Anolis sagrei: one gene and its partner. The main gene of each other region encodes a partner of the protein of the gene in region 2 in a complex. Links are inferred from orthologs where the notes say so. Each region holds a gene or a part of one and is shown on either strand. Other genes may lie near its edges.

What was found. Proteins that work in one complex are often made in the same cells at the same time.
Region 1: the proteins of RLIM (region 2) and ubiquitin-conjugating enzyme E2 E2 are in contact, whole or in part, in a crystal structure (PDB 6W9A), measured with the Homo sapiens proteins. The link is inferred for Anolis sagrei from reciprocal best matches to the Homo sapiens genes RLIM and UBE2E2. Residues at the interface, in NP_057204.2 of Homo sapiens: Ser571, Val572, Cys573, Ile574, Thr575, Cys596, Arg599, Trp600, Pro608, Ile609, Arg611; in NP_001357154.1 of Homo sapiens: Lys52, Thr55, Lys58, Arg59, Lys62, Pro112, Asp113, Pro115, Phe116, Ile142, Asn146, Trp147, Ser148, Pro149, Ala150, Leu151, Thr152.

What each region holds. Positions count from the first base shown.
Region 1 is NC_090026.1:86,091,547-86,099,242, reverse strand, and holds the start of ubiquitin-conjugating enzyme E2 E2, read left to right. Parts: upstream 1-4,382; 5' UTR 4,383-4,828; intron 4,829-7,696.
Region 2 is NC_090030.1:32,285,698-32,293,885, reverse strand, and holds the start of RLIM (E3 ubiquitin-protein ligase RLIM), read left to right. Parts: upstream 1-4,677; 5' UTR 4,678-4,875; intron 4,876-8,188. UniProt on the Homo sapiens protein: E3 ubiquitin-protein ligase.

The DNA of each region.
Region 1 (7,696 bases), on a different chromosome or scaffold from region 2:
ATCATGCTTGTGGCAGGCTTCTCTCATGTCCCCGCATGAGGAGCTGGAGCTGATAGTGGGAGCTCATCTGCCTTTCCCCGGATTTGAACCTGTGACCTCTCGGTCTTCAGTCCTGCCAGCACTGGGGTTTAACCCACTGCGCCACCAGGAGATTTGGAGATGGGACGCAAACGTAAACAAAAAAAAAATCACTTATATTGCATATACACCTATGCACATAGTCTAAAGGGATGACACCAACTTTGAACCATTAGAAACTAAAGGTACTGCTGTATGGCACACACATAGACAATTTTGGATATTGAGGTATTTTGGAATTCCAGGTAAGGGATGGTTCTCTGCTTTAAGTAGTAGTTTTTGTGTTCTTCCTCCCCATTAGTGCTATGTTGTAATAACATATCCACACCCTTTTGACAACATTCAGATGTTTGTGAAGAAGTTTTTAACATGGGAAAAACTGGAAGGTATGTTATAATGAGAGTCAGCATGTTACAGTCCTTTGAGTGTCGGGACACTGGGAGACCAGAGTTTGAATCCCCATTTGGCCATGGAAACCACTGTGACTTCGAGCAGGGTACACTCTTTCAACTACAGAGAAAGGCAAGGGTAAACCCCTTCTGAACAAATTCTGCCTTTTTATAAGTTTGTCTTAGTGTCACTGTAAGTTTGAAATGACCTGAAGGCATTGTAATACTATTGACAATATTATACTGATGAAATTACAGAGTCAAATAGTGCAGGATTCTGCTGAACATTCTTCCTAATCTAGAAGTCCATGCAACTTAGGAAAGAGAGTCATGATGGAAGAATTTTATTAGAATTTTATCTTATAACATAAGATAGAAAGCTTCCTGTTCCTAATTTTGAGTAAATCTTTTTTGATCCTCAATAAGCTATACATACTTTTTAAAAAATTACTGATATACTGTGTATACCTATGCATAAGTCTAGAAATTTTAGAACAACATTCATCCCAAAAATATGGATCGACTTATCCACTGGTTAATGCGAGTACTATAGTTTAACTCCAATCAAAAAAATGAGCTATACCCTTATCTGAGTAGAATGGCAAAAAGTGAGAGTTGAGGCTTTCTAGGAGAACCTAAAGGAAGAAACTAAATATATCATCTGCTCTTACTGTGGACTTTAAGACACAGTGACCTTTCATAAGGTCAGAGAGAAGTTTAAAGAATATGCAACTCTTTAAACGTAGATTTAATGCTCACAGGTTTTGTTCAATAGATATTTATCTCAACCCTAGATTCTGACAGATGCTTATGTTTGTTCTTTGCTTCTAAAACACATGCTCATTGCAGTTTGGAAGTAAAAACCCAGATGTTTCAGACATGATGCTTTATTTTCAGATAATCCCTAGGCAAAACATATCTGTTTTTGATTGTCACATTTGCACACCATTTTTAGAATAGCTCCAGTGTCTCACTTCCAGTTCTACCTGTTCCCAGTCAAAAATTCTTCATATGCAGTCTAAACCATGATGATCTTTTCTTCCCTTTTCACTCCACTCCCATCATATTATCAGTTTAATCAGAATGGAGACTACTGAGAACATCTTCACATGACGGGAGATAAAACATCCATACCAATTGATAGGACGGAGCAAATTAGAAGTATATATGAAGATACTGTCTCTGTTCTGTCCAATTAATCTTTTATTTCATACTGCTTCTCCTCTCCTTCCAACCCCCCTTTCTCAAGTTAAGCACCAATGAATCAGAGTATATGGTACCAACTAGCTTCCTGATAAAAAATGGGATTTTGCTAGATGACTGGGGTATGCATTGTGACACAAAGAAATATAACTTTCTGCACTTCAAACAGCAAACTACAGAAAACAGTTGCTGTTCCAATCAGGACAAAAAGAGGTCAGTGTATCAAATTTGCAAGAAATAGCTGCCAATTCCTCCAATTGTTAATCTGCCACTCCATTATGAGGCATTCAAAGATAAGGAGCGAGTCTAAGATACTTGTATCAAACTGTGTTGGTGATGAAGTAGAGCAAGCACACTCACTTTCCCTCTCTTTTACAGTATAAGGAGGTTTGGGGCTTGCTTGCTTGCTTGCTTACCCTAGAGCCAGGCCCGTAGTCAGGATTTTGTTTCGCGGGGGGGGGGGGGGGGGGGGGGAGAGCTGAGTTTGATTCGGGGTGGGGGGGGGAGGGCTGAGTCTGAGTGAAAGGGTCTACCCTAGCAAACCTTTTGTATCGTTACCCCAATACCCCCATGTACATGGGATATATTGAGCATGGTGATCAGATCATGATATGAATAACATAACAGTTTAAATAATGTACCAGTAAGGCCTTCTCGCGGACCACCATGACCCCCCCCCCCCCCCAGCTATATGCCTGCCTAGAGCCAAGACAAGGCCTACATAATGCAGCTGGGTACAATCCCCACTTCTCAGACAGGACTCAAAAGGAAAGTGGAAGTTATTATTGTCCAAATGTGTGAAACATTGTTTATACTTATGCACACTCTTAGTGGCCCAGTCTAACCCCCCCCCCCCCAAAAAAATCCCCATTTTATTCAGGAAAGGAAAAGTCAGCTTAAGTGGCTGAGAGTGAAAAGGAAAAGGCCTGAGGCTGTTAGGAATTGTGAGAGTTAAAGTCCAAAATACCTGGAGGGCCCAAGTTTGCCCTTGCCAGGCTTAGCGGCACTTGAGGTGCACTTTACATAATTTTACTCCAAAAATGGTAACCCAAATCTGCTGGCACTTTGAAGGCCCTCGTGCTCTGCCCTCAATCTTTCTCCGGGCTCCATTCTTCCTCCACAAAGAGGATGTTTGGACCCCTCGAACTTCGAAGCAGTTGAGTAAACAGTATACTCTTTTGAGGTGGAAGAGAAGGCCCCTCACCTGAAGGGAACTGACCCCTGTCCTAATATGGGGTGACCCTGTCAAAAGGCCACCTCAGGCGACCTTCCCTGCCATTAGGCCCCCTTTTGCGTCTGTCAGTCTATCAGTCAGTCAGTCAGAGCCTCCTCAGGCTTTGGGCCGCCACACCCCTCACATCTTGAGTGCAGCTCTCTCTCAAGTGAGAGCCAGTGTCCTCTTAGGGAAGAGAAGCTGATGAGGAAACACAACATACAAACTATCGACAGACCCACCAAGAAAATCCAACAAATGCTACATTCAGCAAAGGACAAGAGGGATCCTCTTACTTCTGCAGGAGTCTACCGTATACCATGCAGCTGTGGACAACTCTACATAGGGACCACCAAACGCAGCATTGCCCAAACACGAATCAAGGAACATGAAAGGCACTGCAGACTACTTCAACCAGAGAAGTCAGCCATAGCAGAGCACCTAATGAACCAACCTGGACAGAGCATATTATTTGAGAACACAGAAATGCTGGACCACTCTAATAATAATAATAAACCTTTATTTATACCCCGCTAACATCTCCCGAAGGACTCGGTGCGGCTTACAAGAGGCCGAGGCCAAATACAACAGTAAAACAGTAGCACAACAAATACAACAATAAATAAACTCATAGAGCAAAGCAATAAACATTAAGCAATAGCAATAAACATTAAACAATAACACCACAACACAGTTAAAATCTAAGGCTGGGCCAAATGTAATGATTAAAAATTTAAAATATGCTGGACATGATCAAGTGAAATGGATAGGTTTTTGGAGATAGGTGCGGTATGCAATTAATCTAGTAAAGTGCATTTGGGACATGATGCATGGAGTTTCCTACTCTGGGAAGGCACACTGGAACAACCACGTCTTCAAGCTCTTCCTAAAGACCACCATGTCGGACTACACAGAGAAGCCATTGAAATCCACAAGCATGTGGACAATTTCAACAGAAAGGAGGAAACCATGAAAATGAACAAAATCTGGCTACCAGTATTTTAAAAAAACTCTAAAATTACAACAGCAAAACAACAGAGGGAAAACAATCAGGGATATCTAATCACCTCTCAACAAAAGACTGCTCCAGGCACTGTCCGGCCATCAAATGCTAATCAAGGTGGTCAGTTGAAACATTCACACCTAGCTCCAGCAAACAAGAGTTCTTTGTCCACAGAGATATAAACCCATTTTCCTAGTTCCAACAGACCTCACTACCTCTGAGGATGCTTGCCATAGATGCAGGCGAAACGTCAGGAGAGAATGCCTCTAGAACATGGCCCGAAAAAACCCACAACAACCCAGTGTCCTCTTTTCTTCCCTCTCGGCCCCGCCTTCTCTGTCCTTCCGAGCGTGGCCCCGCCCCCGCGCTAGCCCCGCCCCTTTCCCCCCTCCCTCCCGCCTCCCTTCTAACTCGAGATACGGACTCCGCCCCCTCCCTCCGCTGGCCCCGCCCCCTTTCCCTTTCCTCACACACCTCACTCAGCCTCCTCCTTTTAACTCGCCCCCCTCCTTCCCTCCCTCCCTCCCTGGCGGCGGCACGCGGCCTCGCTTCCCTACGGGCCACGCGCAGGCGCGCTCTCGCCGCCGCCCCCTCCTCGCCGTTCTCCTCAGCCTCTCGAACTCTTGGCTTAATTGGCCCAGTCGGGAGCGCGCTGCCTCTCCGCGCGGCGGGTTTACTTTTCCTCAGGCGGCGGTGGAAGAGGAGAAGAAGAAGGAGGAGAAGGGGGAGAGAGGAAGGAGAAGCAGCAGCAGCTGGAGAAGAAGTCACCGTCGTCGAGCGGGGGAGGGAGGGAGGAAGAGGGGGTGGGCGCACATGCCTCAGTGACCGGCCGCGGAGAGGAGCTGCCCCCTCCCCCGCCCTCGCCGCCTGAAGGACTGACACGAAGCTGGAGAGCGCCCACCCGCCTCCCTCCCTCTCTCTCCCTCTCTGCCTCCCCCACAGGTAATAACCCCCCCTTCCTCATGAAAGTATCCCCCTATTTTAGAAACCCAAAAGCCCCGCCTCTCGCAGCCAGAAGGACTGACCGCCCCCTCCTCCCTCCCTCCCTCCCTCCCTCTCTTCACCCCTCCTCCCCTTCATCCTGCTTTATTGCCCACGAGGTAAAAATCCCCTCATGATGCCCCCCCCCCAAATCCTCCTTCACTTGGGGGGCGTCCTTTCAAGGAAAACCAACCCTAAAGCCCCTCAGTCTCTAGTTAATCCTCTCCACTATTCATCTGTTTAGCAGGACTGGCCGAATAGTTCCCTTAAGCCCCCTTCCTTCGTCTCCAGCCCCCCCCTTTCCTCAGCCCCCCCCCCTTTTTGTGTCTTAACCATTCAATTTCTCCCACAGACGACATCAATTCCTACAGACTACATGGCCTCTAATCGCCAATTGCCCTCCTCAAGGCCCCCTTTCAATACTCAGCACTCCTAGGCCTTCTGTACACACTGAAGTGTGTGTGTGTGTTTAATATTGAAAATAATCCAGATTAGTATTTGCTTTGAACATAGAAATTCTCCTCTGTCTGGGAAAGGCAACCCCGAATTAGATATTGCTTGCCTTCTAAATTTTGCCAAGATTACACTGATTCCAACCTCAGTCACTAACCCAATTTTGCCCCCTTTCTGTACAGTTAGGGATGCTCCCAAGCCTTCTGCATAAGCAAAAGTGTGTGTGTACTTTTTACCCACATTAATATTTTCTCCAAACATAGAAATGTTCCTCTTTCTGGGAAAGGCAACCCTGTATTAAATATTCCTTGCCTTCTAAATTTTATCAAGATTACACTGATTCCAACCTCGGTCACAAACCCCATTTTGTGCACTTTTTACCCACATTAATATTTGCTTTGAACATAGAAATGCTCCTCTGTGTGGGAGAGGCAACCCTGTATTGAATATTCCTTGCCTTCTAAACTCAATTATTTCAAGATTACACTGATTCCAACCCACTGCTGTCTTAAACCCCATTTTGCCCCCTTTCTGTACAGTTAGGGATGCTCCCAGGCCTTCTGCATAGGCAAAAGTGTTTGTGCACTTTTTACCCACATTACTATTTGCTTTGAACATAGAAATGCTCCTCTGTCTGGGAAAGGCAACCCCGTATTAGATATTCCTTGCCTTCTAAATTTTGTCAAGATTACACTGATTCCAACCTCGGTCACGAACCCCATTTTGCCCCCTTTCTGTACAGTTAGGGATGCTCCCAGGCCTTCTGCATAGGCAAAAGTGTGTGTGCACTTTTTCCACACATTAATATTTGCTTTGAATATAGAAATGCTCCTCTGTCTGGGAAAGGCAATCCTGTATTGAATATTCCTTGCCTTCTAAACTCAATTATTTCAAGATTACACTGATTCCAACCCACTGCGGTCTTGAACCCCATTTTGCCCGCTTTCTGTCCTTGACAGTTAGGGATGCTCCCAGGCCTTCTGCATAGGCAAAAGTGTGTGTGTACTCAGACCTCACAACCTCTGAGGATGCCTGCCATATATGCAGGTGAAATATCAGGAGAGAATGCTTCTGGAACATGGCCATACAGCCTGGAAAACTCACAACAACCCCATGTGTGTACTTTTTACCCACATTAGTATTTGCTCTGAACATAGATATGCTTCTCTGCACGGGAAAGGTAACCTCGTATTAAATATTCTTTGCCTTCTAAATTCAATTCTTTAAAAATTACACTGATTCCAACTTGAATCTCTTTTGCCCGCTTTCTGTACTTGGCAGTTAGGGACGCTCCCAGGCCTTCTGCACATGCATAAGTGTGTGTGTACATTTTATCCACATTAGTATTTGCTTTGAACATAAAAATGCTCCTTTGACTGGGAAAGGCAACCTGTATTAAATATTAATTGCCTTCTAAATTCTTTCAAGATTACACTAATTCTAACCGTGGTCACGAACCCCGTTTTGCCTCCTTTCTGTACTCAGCAATTAGGGATGCTCCCATGAAAAAATGTGTGTGTACTGGGTTGCTGTGAATTTTCTGGGCTGTATGGCCATGTTCCAGAAGTATTCTTTCCTGACGTTTTGCCCACATCCATGGCAGGCATCCTCAGATTGTGAGATATATTGTATGTAATTTTTACCCACATTAGTATTTGCTTTGAACACAGGGCAAAGGCTCCTTCTTTGGAGTTTTTAAAGGAGAAGCTGGATGACCATCTGTCAGGGGTGCTTTGAATACAATTTTCCTGCTTCTTGGCAGGGGGTTGGACTTTATGGCCCACGAGGTCTCTTCCAACTTTATGATTCTATGAAATACAATGGTTCCTTTGTCCAGGAAAGGCAACCCTATACAGGCAGTCCCCAAGTTACGCACAAGATGGGTTCTTAAGTTGGATTTGTTTGTAAGTTGGAACAGGTACTTTTATAAGTGTACCTCTGGCATGCACACACATACATATGGTATTTGTTTTGCTGTCTGTCATCCAGGTCAGAAGATTCCACCTCACTTTTTGTTCCTGTAATAATTGGATTTATTTAAAAAATGTGGAAACAAGGATTGGTGATAAAGCTTCAGTAGATAACTGTTCTAGGAGTGGATTTCCCTTTCTGGAGGTTCTCCCACTTCCTGCTGTTGTGAGTTTGCCAGACTGTATGGCCGTGTTCCAGAAGTATTCTCTCCTGACATTTTACCCACATCTATGACAGGCATCCGCAGAGGTTGTGAGGTTTGTTGGAAACTAGGCAAGTGAGGTTTATATATCTGTGGAATCTCCAGGGTGGGAGAAAGAACTCTTGTCTGCTTGAGGCAAGTGTGAATGTTGCAGTTGGCCAGCTTGCACCTTCAAAGGCTGGCTGAGTGCTGCCTAGTGGGAT
Region 2 (8,188 bases):
TCTGGAACACCAGAAGTCCGTGCCTTGCGGGACTTATCAGCCTTCCGCAGGGCTTGTAAGACATATTTGCTTCAACAGGCTTTTGACCTTTGATCTATTGTTTCAATTTGTGTTAGATTCCAGTTTGTTTTATAAGCCGCTCCGAGCCCTAGAGGAGTGGCGGCATATAAGTTTGAATAATAAATAAACACAAATACAAACACACAAAAACACATATACACAGATTGGGCCGTAGCAACGTATGGCAGGGGACGGCTAGTCTATATAAATTAAAAATGTGATGTTTGTTTGTGAGATTAACAGAACTCAAAAACCACTGGACGAATTGACACTAAATTTGGACACAAGACACCTAACAAACCAATGTATGTCCATCACTCAAAAAAAATCGATTTTGTCATTTGGGAGTTGTAGTTGCTAGGTTGCTGCCTACCTCCAACAGACAACAGTTCTTTCTCCCATCCTAGACATCATTCCACAGATATATACCGTATATACTCGAGTATAAGCCGACCCAAATATAAGCTGAGGCACCTAATTTTACCACAAAAAACTGGGAAAACGTATTGACTCGAGTATAAGGCGAAGGCAAGAAATGCAGCCATTACTGGTAAGTTTCAAAATAGAAATAGATACCAGTAAAATTACATTAATTGAGACATCAGTAGAGTAAATATTCAAAAATATTTACATAAAATTGTAATTTAAGATAAAGCTGTCCAACTCTGATTAAACTATTATTCTAACCTTTTTCAATGTAAATGTAATTACGTATCCTTCCAATAATAATAAAGGGAGTAAAATAATAAATGTAATAAAAATAATAATAGAGTAAAATAATGGAAATGTAAAATAACAGTAATAAGAGAGTAAAATAATAAATGTTATAATAACAATAATAAATAGAGTAAAATAATAAATGTTGTAATAACAACAATAATAAATAGAGTAAAATAATAAATGTTATAATAACAATAAAGAGTAAAATAATAAATGTCATAATAATAATAAATAGAATAAAATAATAAATGCAATAAAAATAATACCGAAAGCGTCTTTGAGTGAAATTTGCAAATACTAAGTAAGGGGCTTTGAATGAAATTAACAGCAAAAGAGAGACATACCCTTTCTCTGACTTAAAAAGAGCAATATGGAAGAAAATGTTTTTTAAGAAACAAGATGTGACATGTAGAAGGTACTTCTTACACAGGATGCTTGTGGTTAACTTCAAAGGTTGTTTTTTGAAGCGCAGAGACCGCATGTACAAGAAGGTACTTTCCATCAAAAGGTCAGAATTATTATTCACAAAAGGTGTTTTCCCTATGCTTTTTGTTTCTAATGGGCTATAAAGTTTGCAGATTTCAAGGGAAGAGCACGGCAGTCATTTGAAGGGTAACATCTGTGCATGCTGCCCTGCTGTCCGTCTTCTTCATGAAGAAACTAAAATAAAACCTTGTTTTTTTGATCTTTCATTGGGACTGTCTCCTTCCTTTCGTGCTCCCACGACGTGGACCTAAAAAGACTCAATTTTGGGTCTCTAACAATACTAATAATAGAGTAAAATAGTAAATCACATTTACTAGAGTATAAGCTGAGGGGAGATTTTTCAGCTTTAAAAAGGGGCTGAAAAACTAGGCTTATACTCAAGTATGTCCTTCACTCAAAAAAAATAAATGATTTTGTCATTTGGGAGTTGCAGTTGCTGGGATTTATAGTTCACCTACAATCAAAGAGCATTCTGAACCCCACCAACGATGGAATTGAACCAAACTTGGCACACAGTTCTCCCATGACCAACAGAAAATACTGGAAGGATTTGGTGGGCAGTGTCCTTTGGTTTTGGAGTTGTCGTTCACCTACATGCAGAGATCACTGTGGACTCAAACAATAATGGATCCAGACCAAACTCTACACGAATACTCAATATGACCAAATGTGAAAACTGGTGGAGCTTGGAGAAAATAGAATCTTGACATTTGGGAGTTGTAGTTGCTAGTCTATAGGACGCAGACAGTTCGTCCCGTAGGAAAAGCTTCATTCTTCAGAACCATCCGGGGACCATCCAGGGAAATAGGAACAAAAGGAAAAGATCCCAAAGGCTCTGGCTGAGAGCTCACAGCCTCTCATCCTCACAGCACCAGAGGGGAAAACAGCCCTGAAGTTCCCACAAGAAAGCATTACAGAACCACTGAATTCGAGCTGAAGTATCTTCAAGCCTTGGCTGGTAGGTTTACTCGATGTCCAGAAGCAGTTGGGATCGGTAGTAAGACCCAAACCAGCAAGGACCAGATAATAGACAGCCTGGGAGAGATTATAAAGGGTTATTCCTTATGCTAAGAAAGTACAGTTAATTCAAGTCAGTGCCGGTCTCTTAAAGACTAGAACAAGAAAATTTCAATGGCTTCTCTGTGTAGTCTGACATGGTGGTTGTGGGAGTGGTCCAGCATTTCTGTGTTCTCAAATAATCTGCTGTGTCCAGGTTGGAGCTGGGGGTGGTGACGGCTGACAGGGAGCTCTGGCGTGGGCTGGTCTATGAGGTCACGAAGAGTCGGAGACGACTGAACGAATGAACAACAAATTTTATTATTATCCAAAAAATATTTATTTATATTATTATTATCCAATGAATACTGATTTATATTACTACTATTATCCAATAAATATTTATCTTTATTATTATTATTATTATGATCTAATAAATCTTTCTTCTTGACCTCTTTTATTATTATCCAATAAATACTGATCTATTTATTATTATTATCATCCAGTAAACATATCTTATATATTTTATTATTATTATCCATTAAATATTTATTTTTATTAAATATGTATATTTATTTTATTATTTTTATTGGATAATAATAAAATAAATATTTATTATTCATCTATTTTATTATCATACAATAAATATTTAATTATATTATTATTATCCAATAAATATTGATCTATTTATTATTAATATAATCCAGTAAACATCTCTTATTTATTTTATTATCCCATAAATATTTTTCTATATTATTATTATCCACCACATATTTATCTATTTATTATTATTATTATCCCATAAATATTTATTATTCATCTATTTTATTATTATCCAATAAATATTTATTTTATTAAATATTTATATTTATTTTATTATTTTTATTGGATAATAATAAAACAAATATTTATTATTCATCTATTTTATTATTATCCACTACATATTTATCTATGTATTATTATTATTATCCAATAAATATTTATTATCCATCTGTTTTATTATTATCCAATAAATATTTTTATTAAATGTTTATATTTGTTTTCTTATTTTTATTTTTATTATTTTAATTATTTTTATTGGATTATTCATCTATTTTATTATTATCCACTACATATTTATCTATTTATTATTATTATCCAATAACTATTTATTATTCATCTATTTTATTATTATCCAATAAATACTTATTTTATTTTTTATTATTATCCATTAAATATTTATCTATATTATTATTATCCACCACATACTTATCTATTTATTATTATTATCCAATAAATATTTATTATTTACCTATATTATTATTATTATTATTATTATTATTATCTTCCTTCTTGACCTTAGTATCTACTACATATTTATCTATTTATTATTATTATTATCCAATAAATATTTCTTATTTATCTATTTTATTATTATTATTATTAATTATTTTAATTATTATTTCATTATTTTTATTTAATTATTTTTATTGGATTTATTATTATTATTTTATTATTATCCACTACATATTTATCTATTTATTATTATTATTATTATTATTATCCAATAAATATTTATTATTTATCTATTTTAATATTATTATTAATTATTTTAATTATTATTTTATTATTATTTATTTTATTATTTTATTATATTATTATCCACTACATATTTATCTATTATTATTATTATTATTATTATTCAATAAATATTTATTGTTTCTCTATTTTTTATTATTATTATTATTATTATTATCTTCCTTCTTGACTTTAGTATCTACTACATATTTATCTATTTATTATTATTATTATCCAATAAATATTTCTTATTTATCTATTTTATTATTATTATTATTATTATTATTATTATTAATTATTTTAATTATTATTTTATTATTTTTATTATTTTTATTTAATTATTTTTATTGGATTTATTTTATTATTATTTATTTTATTATTTTATTTTATTATTATCCTGTACATGTTTATCTATTTATTATTATTATTATTATTATCCAATAAATATTTATTATTTCTCTATATTATTATTATTATTATTATTTTCTTCCTTCTTGACCTATTCTATTCTTCTTGGTTCAGTTCCTGTTCAAAATGGACGCCCCCATTGAGCCGCTCTCTCTCCTCAGTCCTCCACACTCTATGACCGACACATTTCTCCACTCTCTCACTATAATCCAGCCGGATAGGTTTAGCAACGGAGCATGCGCACTTCCGCCACGCATTCTATAGGTTCAGCAACGGAGCATGCGCACTTCCTCCACCTGCGCACGCATTCCAGTCAGTGGCGAACGAGGATGGGTTACTGAGAAGTGGGGGGGGGGGGGAGACGTCACTTCCGCCTCCTGCGTGCGCAACGGAGCCCAAACCAACGGGGCTGGGCCTCTCCCTGTGCCGTGCGCATGCGCACTCTCCTCTCGTCCCCCTCCTCCCTCCCGCTTCCGGTCCCCGAGTTCCTTAGTAACAATGGAGCCTAAGATGGCGGCCTGAGAGGACGGAGGGCGAGAGAGGAGCCGGGGAAAGGAAGCAGGCGGACAGGGAGAAGGAAGGCCAGCCGCGTCGGGTCCGGCGGACGGAGAACGCAGGAGAGGAGGGAGAAGGAGGCCGCGGACGGAGGTGAGCAAGCCGGCCGAGGGAGGCAAACAGTCAGGCAGGCTTCGACAGAGAACTAGGCCGCAGCCCTTCCTTCCTCCCTCTGCGTTTCCTGCTTGGTGAGGCCTTCAGGGGAATGGCCTCCATACAATTCCCACACAGCCCCACATTCTCTGCTTTGAACCGGATTATATAGCCGTGTGGACTCATTTGGTCCAATTCAAAGCAGGCATTGATATATTGTATGTACATATAACTTGTAAGCTGCTCTAAGTCCCCTTCGGGGAGGGAAGGGCGGCATACAAATGTCATTTTTTTGTCGTTGAGAAACTGCAAGTCGTTTCTGGTGTGAGAGGATTGGGCTGGATATCTGCCTTGATATCCAGGGAGATATGGCTGTGTGGAAAGGCCCGGAGACTCGGAGCCCATCTACGCAGCCATAGAACATCAAAACAGAGAACCCACAATGTCAGCGTTGAACTGGGTTCCCTGAGTCCACACTGCCCTTTATCCCAGGATCTGATCCCAGAGTATCTGATTTAAACTGGAATATAATCATCATAATAAACTTAATTTTTTAACCCACCCACTGGCATTGAATGTTTGCCATTTTCCCTTTTTGGAAGCCTCCCTGAGTTCTCTCGGGGAGACTAATTATGTGTGTGTATGTGTATGTGTGTGTGTGTGTGTGTGTGTGTATATATATATATATATATATATACACACACATACATACACAAACACACACACAATTAGTCTCCCCGAGGGGACTCAAGGAGGCTTCCAAAAAAGTAAAATGGCAAACATATATATGTGTGTGTGTATATATATATATATATAAATGCTCTGTGCGTAATGAGTACCTTAAAAACAAAAGGACCAATGAATGAAATCACACCAAATTTGGCAACAAATGTCTCACAACACAAGGAGTGACCATCACTCAAAAAATTATGATTTTGTCATTCAGGAATTGTAGTTGCTGGTATTTATAGTTCACCTACAATCAAAGAGCATTCTGAACTCCACCAACATTGGAATTGAACCAAACTTGCCGCGCAGAACTCCCATGAGTAACAAAAAATACTGGAAAGGTTTGGTGGGCATTGACCTTGAGTTTGGGAGTTGTAGTTCACTTACATCCAGAGAGCACTGTGGACTCTGCCTTGATATTCAGGGAGATATGGCTGTGTGGAAAGGGCCGGGGACTCAGAGCCCTTCTACACAGCCATAGAACATCAAGGCAGAGAACCCACCATGTCAGCTTTGAACTGGGTTTCCTGAGTCCACACTGCCCTTTCTCCCAGGATCTGATCCCAGATTATCTGATATAAACTGGAATATAATCATAATCAACTTTATTTTTTAACCCATCCACTTTCCCTGAGGGGGAGTGTGTGTGTGTGTATGGCATTGAATGTTTGCCATTTTCCTTTTTTGGAAGTCTCCCCGAGTCCCCTCAGGGAGACTAATTATGTGTGTGTGTGTGTGTGTGTGTGTGTGTATATACATACATACACACACACACACATAATTAGTCTCCCTGAGGGGACTCAGGGAGGCTTCCAAAAAAGTAAAATGGCAAACACACACACACACACACACACATATATGTATATACATGCTCTGTGCGTAATGAGAACCTTAAAAACAAAAGAACCAATGAACGAAATCACACCAAATTTGGCAACAAAACGTCTCACAACACAAGGACTGACCATCACTCAAAAAATTATGATTTTGTCATTTGGGAGACTCAATGTTATATTATTAGCATAGCACAATATTAGTATTATAGGGTTGTTGTAGGTTTTTCCAGCTATATGGCCATGTTCCAGAAGCATTCTCTCCTGACATTTCACCTGCATCTATGGCAGGCATTCTCAGAAGTTGTGAGGAGCTGCATCTATATGCAGGCGAAACGTTAGGAGATATAATGCTTCTAAAACATGGCCATATAGCCAAAAAACCCTACAACAACCCAGTGTTTCTGGCCATGAAAGCCTTCGACAATATAAAAGTATTATATATTAGTATATTGTACTAATACCACTTTACAGTAATATTATTAGTCATATCGCATGTAATATAAAATATAATTATTATATTGTAGTATTATTATTAGTATTATATTGTATTACATTATAATATTATCAGTATTATATATGTATACAATATATTATATTATTGGCACAGCACAATATTAGTATTATATATTACTATACTGTACTATACTGCTATACTGTAAAATTATTAGGAATATTACATGTAATATAAAATATATAATTATTATATTGTATTATTATTAGTATTATATTGTATTACACTATAATATTATCAATATTATATGTGTATACTATGTATTATATTATTAGCACAGCACAATTTTAGTATTATATATTAATATACTGTACTTTACTGCTATACTGTAATATTATTAATAATAATACATGTAATATAAAAGATTATTATATTGTATTATTATTAGTATTATATTGTATTACATTATAATATCAATATTATATATGTATGTAATATAATATTAGCACAGCACAATATTAATATTATATATTACTATATTGTTGCTGGGGGAGGAGTTTCCAACTGATGACCCAGGAGGCATGGTGAAACTCTACGTATCTGTGTGTATGTATGTATTACAGTCAATGACCAGCATCAAAAACGACAAAATGGGGGTGCCCCACTCTCTGCAGCCAGCCCCAGTTAGCAATCTGGCTGCTGCTCTTTGGACTAGCAGAAGTTTCCAAATGCTCTTCAGAGACAGACCCACAGAGATCGCTTTATAGTCATCCAAGCGGGATGTAACTAAGCCATTATTGTTATTATTATTATTATTATTATTATTATTATTATTAAACTTTATTTGTACCCCGCTAGCATCTCCCGAAGGACTCGATGCGGCTTACAAAGTCCAAGGCCTCAACACACAATACAACAATACAAACCAAAGGCAAATTAAAAACAATTAAAGCAATATAAACAACAAGCAATAAACAATACACTAAGACACAATAAAACTGGGCTGGGCCAGAGTAATGGGTACAGGATTAAAAGTGCTGATGTGACAGGTGGGATATAAGGCTTATAGGGCAAGTGCAGTGTGCGGCAATCTTAGTTTTAATAAAGTGCTTCTGGGACTTGGTATTGGAGATTTCCTATTCTGGGAAGGCACATCGGAACAGCCAGGTCTTCAAGTTCTTTCTAAAGACTGCCAGTGTAGGGGCCTGTCTAAGATCTTTGGGGAGAGTGTTCCAGAGTCGGGGGGCCACCACAGAAAAGGCCCTGTCTCGTGTCCCCACCAAACGCACTTGCGACG